Rattus norvegicus: one gene and its partner. The protein of the gene in region 2 purifies or fractionates together with the protein of the main gene of each other region. This does not show direct contact. Links are inferred from orthologs where the notes say so. Each region holds a gene or a part of one and is shown on either strand. Other genes may lie near its edges.

Region 1 (3,972 bases), on a different chromosome or scaffold from region 2:
GCAAGTCAAAGACCTCACGGGCTTCTCCCACCTCTGGGTTGTCACCATCCTCCGAAATGATGTGAGAGGCCAGAGCGTTGTAGGAGACTTCCTTGGCTTTCCCAGCTTTAAGAAGCTGAATAACCTAAGGAAAGAAACAACAGCACAATCAATAACAACAAAGTACTATACTGCCTTCCTAATTCAAACAAGTCATGATTAACTACAATAGAAACACTTAATAAAAACATACCCTGTCCTCTACAGAGAAGCCTTTTCTTGAATGGAAAAGCCAATAAAATCCATTTGGACAATAAAATGTAGCAACCCTGATTCACAGTCCAAGTTACAGAGATGGGTGGCCAGCTACCCCTGCTAGTGGCCCTCCAGACAGACAGCACACACCAGCACCTGCTGAGCTGTACAGAATACCTGTTCCGGGTATCCAACCCAAAGGCTGACGACTGGTTCCACTACAGATAGTAAGTTCTGGACGCAGAGACCCACCAGGAGAAGCCTAACCTGTAGATGCCTATCAGGCAAAGTATATACACCAAGGGAGGGCCTAGCAGGAAAACTCAGATTCAACCATGGTCAATGTTTTCTTGGGTGCTCTGCATAACAATCCTTCCTTAAATCATGGAAGGATATCACAAAGGAAGATAGCACCACCAGATCTTACAGATGGACAGCAACAGAAGAACACTCGTTAAGACACAACTGTGAGCACTCTGACAACTTTAAGAGGCAGGGCACTAAGAAACGTCAGCAGCAAACAGAACAGACTTACCCACACAGTAACTAGACAGGGTATAGGCACGGCAGAAAAGCCGAGCAGGAAATGCTGGCATCTCCCAGAGGGATTGACTGGAAGTAGAGAGGAAGGGGCATTGCTGGGTTTCAGTGTGGGTATACTACTCTTTGGTCCTGTGTGAGCGGGTGAGAGACTATCAGTCACATGGAGAGAGGACTCTGGCTCTCCAGAGATAACCTATTAGAGGTGGCAGTCAAAGTTCTGAGAGTCAACATGGCAGCCACTAGGATGTCAAATGCTGAGGTCTTGTCAGGAATACATGGAGTAGCGCCAGAGGAGAACGACTGGACTGTGGTATGCGGGCCGGAGTCAAAACAGAGCCAAAAGCAATGCAGTCTAGGATGGTCTGCTAAGCATCACTAAGAACTGGAGCAGCCCGGGAAGTCTGTTCTTGATGCATGGAAAACCAACAGCCAGCCACAAGCCAGCTTCCCTGCACCAAGTATCTTTACCTTCATCCACAGACGTCATCCACTTGCTTCAGCCTCACATTACTCAGAAACACGTACACAGCAAGCTCTCCCCAGCCTCCCCTTCTTGGGTCCCAGTGCTTTCTTTTCATGACAAATTTCCAGAAACAAGTCTCACTGTGCTCAACACCTTCTATCCACATTCACGCTCCAGCTCCCTGGAGTGGCCATCAAACTGTGAAAACTCAGGTCTCACACAGCAAGGACACCCAAACCTTCCCAAACTGGACATTACTAATTCCACCTCACAGGAACCACCTTGTAACTATGCGCAGTGACCATCAGGACACATGCCAAGTATACATATGCCTTTAACGCCTAGAACACACAGTCCACACAAACAACTTCTTGTATTCAATATCCGCTTATTTAAGACTCAACACCTCCAGCACCTCCACCTGTTCTATTTGTAGGACTCAGCATTCAAGTGCACTCCTCTGCAGCACTCCGTTTACCAGGCCCGATGCCCAGTCTGTACTGGGGTGCTCACCACCTGTGAGCTTCCTCAATTTGTATTACAAAACTCAAAGAATAGGTGCCCTGGCTCTAAACCTTTCTGAAATACACACTATTTCAGAATAGAAAGCTTTACAAGGGGGATTCTTTTTAAAGCACTCAGATTTCACATATAATTGGGCAAACAGCTCAGTTCAGTGTGTACTTGGTTTCAAGTGACACTTAGTCCAGGACCCTTCTAAGAGCCCAAATCCTAAAATGAAGTACAAGAAAGGGTAAGAAGAAGAAAGGTGGTGGTGGTAATGGGGTGATCAGTACTAGAAAAAGTCTGCTATAAGCACGCGACGGAAGACCCAACGGACCTCGGTTACTAGGATACAAGTATGAGTCTCTGGAAGGCCATGCTCAGTGACTCTTGGACAATTCCTTCCTTAGGACCCGTTTAGCTTACATTATGAGACACCGAAGGCGACACAACTGCAAGCATAGTTTAGGAAAAGAAATGTTTGGGATACTGTCCTGAAGATACCACAGTCCTGAAGATATCCACTGTCCTGTGGATGGATCCAGATTCACGGTCACACGCACTTATTACTGTGACCGTGTAAGCAGGGTACCTTCCATACCTACCGTACAGTCCACCCTTAGGGAAAAATCAGGGACCGGGAGGGCAGGCCCCTAGGCAAGGGACACGCTCAGCAGGGCCCCGCAAGATGCTCGGCCGGCGAACGCGCTGGGTCGGTGCTCGCGAGACCCTTCCCGCGGCCCTGCGCGGCCCTGCGCGGCCCGGCGTGCCCCGCGGCTCCGGCCTGGGGTCCTGCAGGGCGCGCGCGCGACGAAGCGGGGAGGGGGACGGCCCGGCGGAGGGGCCCCGCGCGGGCGGTACCTGCGGGTCGATGTCTCCCACCGCGTAGTACTTGACCTCGCGGAACAGCTCCTCCGGAACTTCGGGCGCCGGCTCCGACATGATCGCGGCGGCGCGGCGGCGCCCGGCCCCGCGTCACCCGGCCCGCCGCGCCCAGCGTCGCAGCTATGCCAACTGCCCGGCCGCACAGCCCGGCCCGCAGCCGCAGCCGCACTCCGACCCGCGCCCCCGCCCGTCCGAGGCCCGGAGCGCGGGAGCCGCGCGCGCCCTGAGGCACGTACCACCGGACCGGACCGGCAGGGGAGCATGTGGGACTATTCCACCTTGAGCGCCGCACAGCGCTCCTTCCACCATCGCGTCTAGCATCAGAGCTGATTTTCTAAAACAGTTCACACAGCATCTGGCAGCCTTGCCCCCGCCGAGTTTCCGCGACCGAGAAGAGAAGTCACAGAGACACTAAATCCCCCGCACAGCCGCGGTGGACCAGCCAGAGGGCGGGGCCTGGGCGGGACTCCCGTCACCCCGCGCGGCCACCTGGCAGCGCATGCTCGAAGGGGCGGAGCCTCGGTGCGGAAGGCAACCCGCACAATCGAGCGTTCTGAATTCAGCTGTCGCTGCTACGGCTGTTGTGCTGTCCACGGTCCAGCCTAGAGTCAGGCAGACCCTGGCTAATGGTCAGTTTCCTTCATCCGCCCCTTTCACACCTACTGCGGCAGTCGGCGGGGAACTGATCTTCGGTGATGCAGCTTAAGAGCAAAGTAGGAGCCGGCGACTTGGCTTAGCAGGCAGACACCTACCACCAATCTGAGTTCGATCCCTAGAACACACGTGGTGACAAGCATAAACCGGCTCCAGCAAGTTGTTTTCTGACCTTTCCACTCACACACGTACACACTTACACACACACTCTAAATAAATGTAGAATCTTTACGTGTATTGGATTTCCCCCTACATGTATGTATCTGTACCCGGTGAGTATCTGGTGCCCACAGCGGTCAGAAGATGGCTTCAGGATCCTCTGGAACTGAAGTGACACAGCACGTGGGTGTTGGGCACCAAACTTTTGGAGATGCTGCAAGAGAACTAAGTGTTCTGAACTCCTGAGCGCTCCAAGCCTCCGTCAACATAGTTCTTAAAGGTAAACAGCAAAATTCATAAGAAATTGTCTTCACAGATAACTGTAATAAGTATGGATGTATAAAGTTACAGGAATGACAATGACAGCTGAAACTGCCGTGGTGCCCTCGCAGAATGACAAGTCCTGCACTCTTGACACTGCTCTTTAATCAGGCTTTGTGTTTTCTGTGACCTTCATGCAGATTAAGTGTTGATGTTCTTATAATCTCAAACGAACCCAGAGCAGAGCCACTTTGTTTTACAGCCATCAG
Region 2 (4,090 bases):
GTGGTACACACCTTTAATTCCAGTACTCGGGAGGCAGAGGAAGGTGTATCTACAAGTTTGAAGCTAGCCTAGTCTAAAGAGTGAACTCCACTCTCTTGCTCTCCCTCCTTACTCCTCTCTCCCCATTCCCCTCACCCTTCTCTCTCCATGTGCTCATGGCTGGCATCCCTCAACTCTATCTCTGCCTTTCTCGGTCTCTGCTACCCTCTCAACTCCCCTCCCATGCCCTGAATAAACTCTACAATATACTGTTGACTGTTGTGTGGCTGGTCCCTCAGGGGAAGGAATGTCTCCGCATGAGCCTGCAGAGGCACCCCCTCCCCCCACACCATTCCCTCACACCATATCTCTCCTCCACCAAACATATTCCTTCTCTCCTTATTTTTATAAAACACACGCACAAAAAAGGCATACTCTGTGCTGTGTTTTATAAAAAGATAAGAGAGGAAGGAATATTAAAAAAAAAAAAAAAAAAAGCGTGAACTCCAGGACAGTCAGGGCTACACAGAAGAAATCCTGTCTCAAAACAACAAAAAGGTTCTTGGGACTGAGCTGTTCATAGAAGAGTGTTCACCTAACATGCATAAGACCACCTCACCCCCCCACAAAAAAACAGTGACTCTAGGGCTGGAGGGATGGCTCAGTAGTTAAGAGCACTGACTGCTCTTCCAAAGGTCCTGAGTACAAGTCCCAGCAACCACATCTATAATGAGATCTGATGCCCTCTTCTGTGTGTCTGAAGACAGCTACACTGTACTCAAACAAAATAAAAATAAAAATATTCCCAAGAAAATGGGTAAAAAGGAGAACATGACCGCAGCACTGAACCCTACAACAAATAAACTGCTCCAAGCTGGGGATAACTGTACCGAGGCTGCAGCTTCAGGTGCTCTGTGTGATGGATGGTCTACTCTTGAACCTTCTGTGAGCCTAAGACTTAAGCTTCAAGAAGGCTTCCCACTGCAGTATACAGATGTGTACCGGAATGTGAGCTCTGCTTCAAAGATTCCTTGATACAGTTTTTTTTTTTTTTCTATTCTTTCGGAGCTGGGGACCGAACCCAGGGCCTTTTGATACAGTTTTTAAAAGGCTTTCTAACAGAAACAACAGACCAAGTGACAAGAGTAGACCTTCTGTGCAGAAGTTTGGAAACTCAGGCAAATTCTAAAATACACCCAAAGAATTTGAGGAAACACAGGAGTCTTGTCTGTACCTGGTGGCCTCCACCTCGGCTCCCTTTGACCTCACAGGCTGCAAACTGCCTTCTACAATGCTAAGAGCGTACAGAGCTCAAGGACTCTTGCACAGAGTACTATAAAAAGAGCTACAAGAAAGAGTACAGCAAAGTAGACACCGCCCCCATATGAAACCTCCCAGGAGGAGTAGCAGGAAGAACATCAGAGAAACTGCACCAGAAGAAGCTGCAGAGCTGAGGGAAAGCAGTTACTCCCTTCAGCAGTGCAACTGCAACAACTTCCTACAGTTTACAGGCCATCCCGTGACTGGGAAGTGAGTTAGTGCTCCTCCAATGGAGCGCTCCTAAGACATGCAAACATCACTGGCCATCATGATCCCTCAGCCATCAGTGTAAGGAGAAATCACGATGCACAGCCTAGCTTTGAGACTAAACCTGACACCTCACACAGACCCCACGGGAGACTAAGAGGAGACAACACCAAAAGAGACCAAAGCCTCAGTCTTCAATCCTAGGAAGGAACAGTAACACCCACCACACAGGGCACAGGTGTAGCCTGCTCCACCAAGGTCAAATTCTGCTGTAGCTCAAGCCCAGGTGCAAGGATCCAACTAGGGGTAGGTCCCCTGCCTGGGTCCCTCCACAAAGCAAAGCTCTTGTGCCCAGGAAATACCAGCTGCTTGGTGTTTTTAGCTTTTTGGAGACAGGGTCTTGCTATGCACCAGTATTCAAAATCCTGCCTCAATAGCCGCAGTATGGTTGGTGTAACAGGCATAAATCAACTCCCAGGCCTGACCTGAAGCTGCTTAACGCAACTATATGGCCATGAGTTCCCAGAGCCAACATGTTTGTGGATCATACAGGTAGCAAGAGGAGCTGAGAAGATGTTAAGTAATGAGATAGAAAGTCCTACCACATCTCCCTGCTTCAGGGAAATAAAAGGCCAAGGGAGCAGGGCAGATCTCTGGGGTAGGAAGTCTCGAGGAACTAAGCAGTGTCTTTTAGCATATAAAGAGATTCACCTAGCCTCGGGTGAATGGCCTTGCAAAACAAGCACGAGGATACCCAACCCTGCCCATCCCATCCCACCCTTTATAAACTGATTCTTTCAGGAAGCCAAATATTAACATATGAAGACACTGGGTGTGCACCACACTTTGATCCCAGCTCTAATAAGTTCACAGCCCCAAACAACCAACCAAAAAAAAAAAAAAAAAAAAAAAAAAAAGGAAAAAGAAAAGAAAGAACATTAGCATTAGCCAATCTACCTCGCAGCATTCAGGAGGTTCGGGAATTCATAGTTAAATGTGAAGCCAGCACCAACCTGAAACCGTCTCAAAGGAAACCAATTTCCAATTCCACTGGGTAGAGTCCAAGACAGAGAGCACTCAGGTGTTCTGTTTTAAGGTCACCGGAAAGCAGGACTTGAAGAGGACAGCTCTGGGAGGGAGGTGTGTTAAGCAGGATCCTCAGCAGGTGGTTTGGAGCTGGCCTCCACGGCCCACAAAGGAGGCAGTTAACTGGCAACCGCAGCTTTACACTACAGGGAACGTGATCATGGAAGGGCAGCAGCCATCAGTCTCCCTCCAATCAAATGCAGATTCCTTGTTTCCGCCTTAGACACTGAGTACACAAGTATGGGAAGACAGAATGGTCCAGTCACTCAGGTGAGTGCAGTAGGTAACCCAACAAAGAGCTCCAACCCATCCTCTCTGGACTACTGGATACCCCTAGGTCCTAGTACCATTGGCTTCACACCACTGTACTCTCAACTGCCTGGCTGACCCAGACAGTGCTCAAAACCCACTTGACCAGTCAGCCCTCGTCAGGTAGAAACTTGCACTAGGACACGGGTGAAGGTTGTGGTGGCAGCACGAAAGCGCCAAGTGGCCAAGGAAACCTGAGAGATGCTAGCTGGGTGTCCCCACTCCCAGGGACGCCAGCCTGAGGTGTGAGCCACGAGGAGCTCGCAGGGCTACGGGTCTAGGGGCGCAGCAGGGGCCGCAGTGGAAGTAGCGAGCCGTGGCGGCCACAAGGGGCGGCGGGGTCGGGGCGCGGCCACAAATGCGGCGCCGGGCCCGGCCGGAGGCCCACGGAACACGTGCGGCGCTGTGGATCCCGAAGCCCGTGGGCCCTCGTGGTCGCCGCCCCCCTCGCGCCCGCAGGACCGGGTCACTCCCTTACCTGCCGGGGCCGGGGCGGCGGGGCCGGGCGCTCTGGCGTCGCCTCGGCTGGCCCTGCGCGCGAGAGCAGACGATCTGGTGGACCAGTCGGCCGCGGCGCGGGAGGCGGGAGGGATTGCGCGTGCGCGAGGGGGCGGGGCAACGGGCGGCGACGAGGGTCAGAAAAATTAGAGGAGACGGAGCGCCTTAAAGGGCCCACCTATGATTCTTGCTTCCTATTTGACCGCCACTAATTTTCAGTGCCTGCAGACCGGAACTCTCTGCAGTTAAAGATGGGTAAAAATGTGCTTATGTGCCTTTCCTGTTAAATTCCAGGCTATGTCGCCAAGCTAATAGCAGCTTGCCTGTCGTGGCCTGTGCCTGCCCTGGACTCTAGGAAACCCTCTTGGTGCCACTGGTGGACGTCCACGAGGTCCGGAAGTCCGGAGCGCCTGCGGTCTCCCCTGCCTACCGCAGGGCGGGGGCTTCCTGCCACTGCAAACCACAGCTCAAATTGAACATACTTGCCTCTCTTCTAAGCTGGGCCACAAAGAGACTCTGCTGTGCACCCCCACACTCAGAAAAAGATCTTAGGAACTATCGCCGCAGGAAAAGCTCCCCTGCGTGTCCAGGGAAGGCAGGAAAGAAGGGAGCTTGCATGCTAACAAGAGAGGAGCTACCTGACTTAGAAGACAAACAAAACTGTGGACAGGAAAGGCAAGTGTCACTAACA

The links. Proteins that work in one complex are often made in the same cells at the same time.
Region 1: the proteins of Wdr5 (region 2) and Paxip1 purify together in Homo sapiens (affinity purification with mass spectrometry; 7 studies listed by BioGRID and IntAct, counting the BioPlex papers as one, with this or other methods). This does not show direct contact. The link is inferred for Rattus norvegicus from reciprocal best matches to the Homo sapiens genes WDR5 and PAXIP1.

The regions. Positions count from the first base shown.
Region 1 is NC_086022.1:8,257,794-8,261,765, reverse strand, and holds the start of Paxip1 (PAX-interacting protein 1), read right to left. Parts: upstream 2,801-3,972; 5' UTR 2,687-2,800; coding exon 2,606-2,686; intron 2,514-2,605; exon of another isoform or gene 2,350-2,513; intron 125-2,349; coding exon 1-124.
Region 2 is NC_086021.1:31,234,456-31,238,545, reverse strand, and holds the start of Wdr5 (WD repeat-containing protein 5), read right to left. Parts: upstream 2,801-4,090; 5' UTR 2,520-2,800; intron 1-2,519.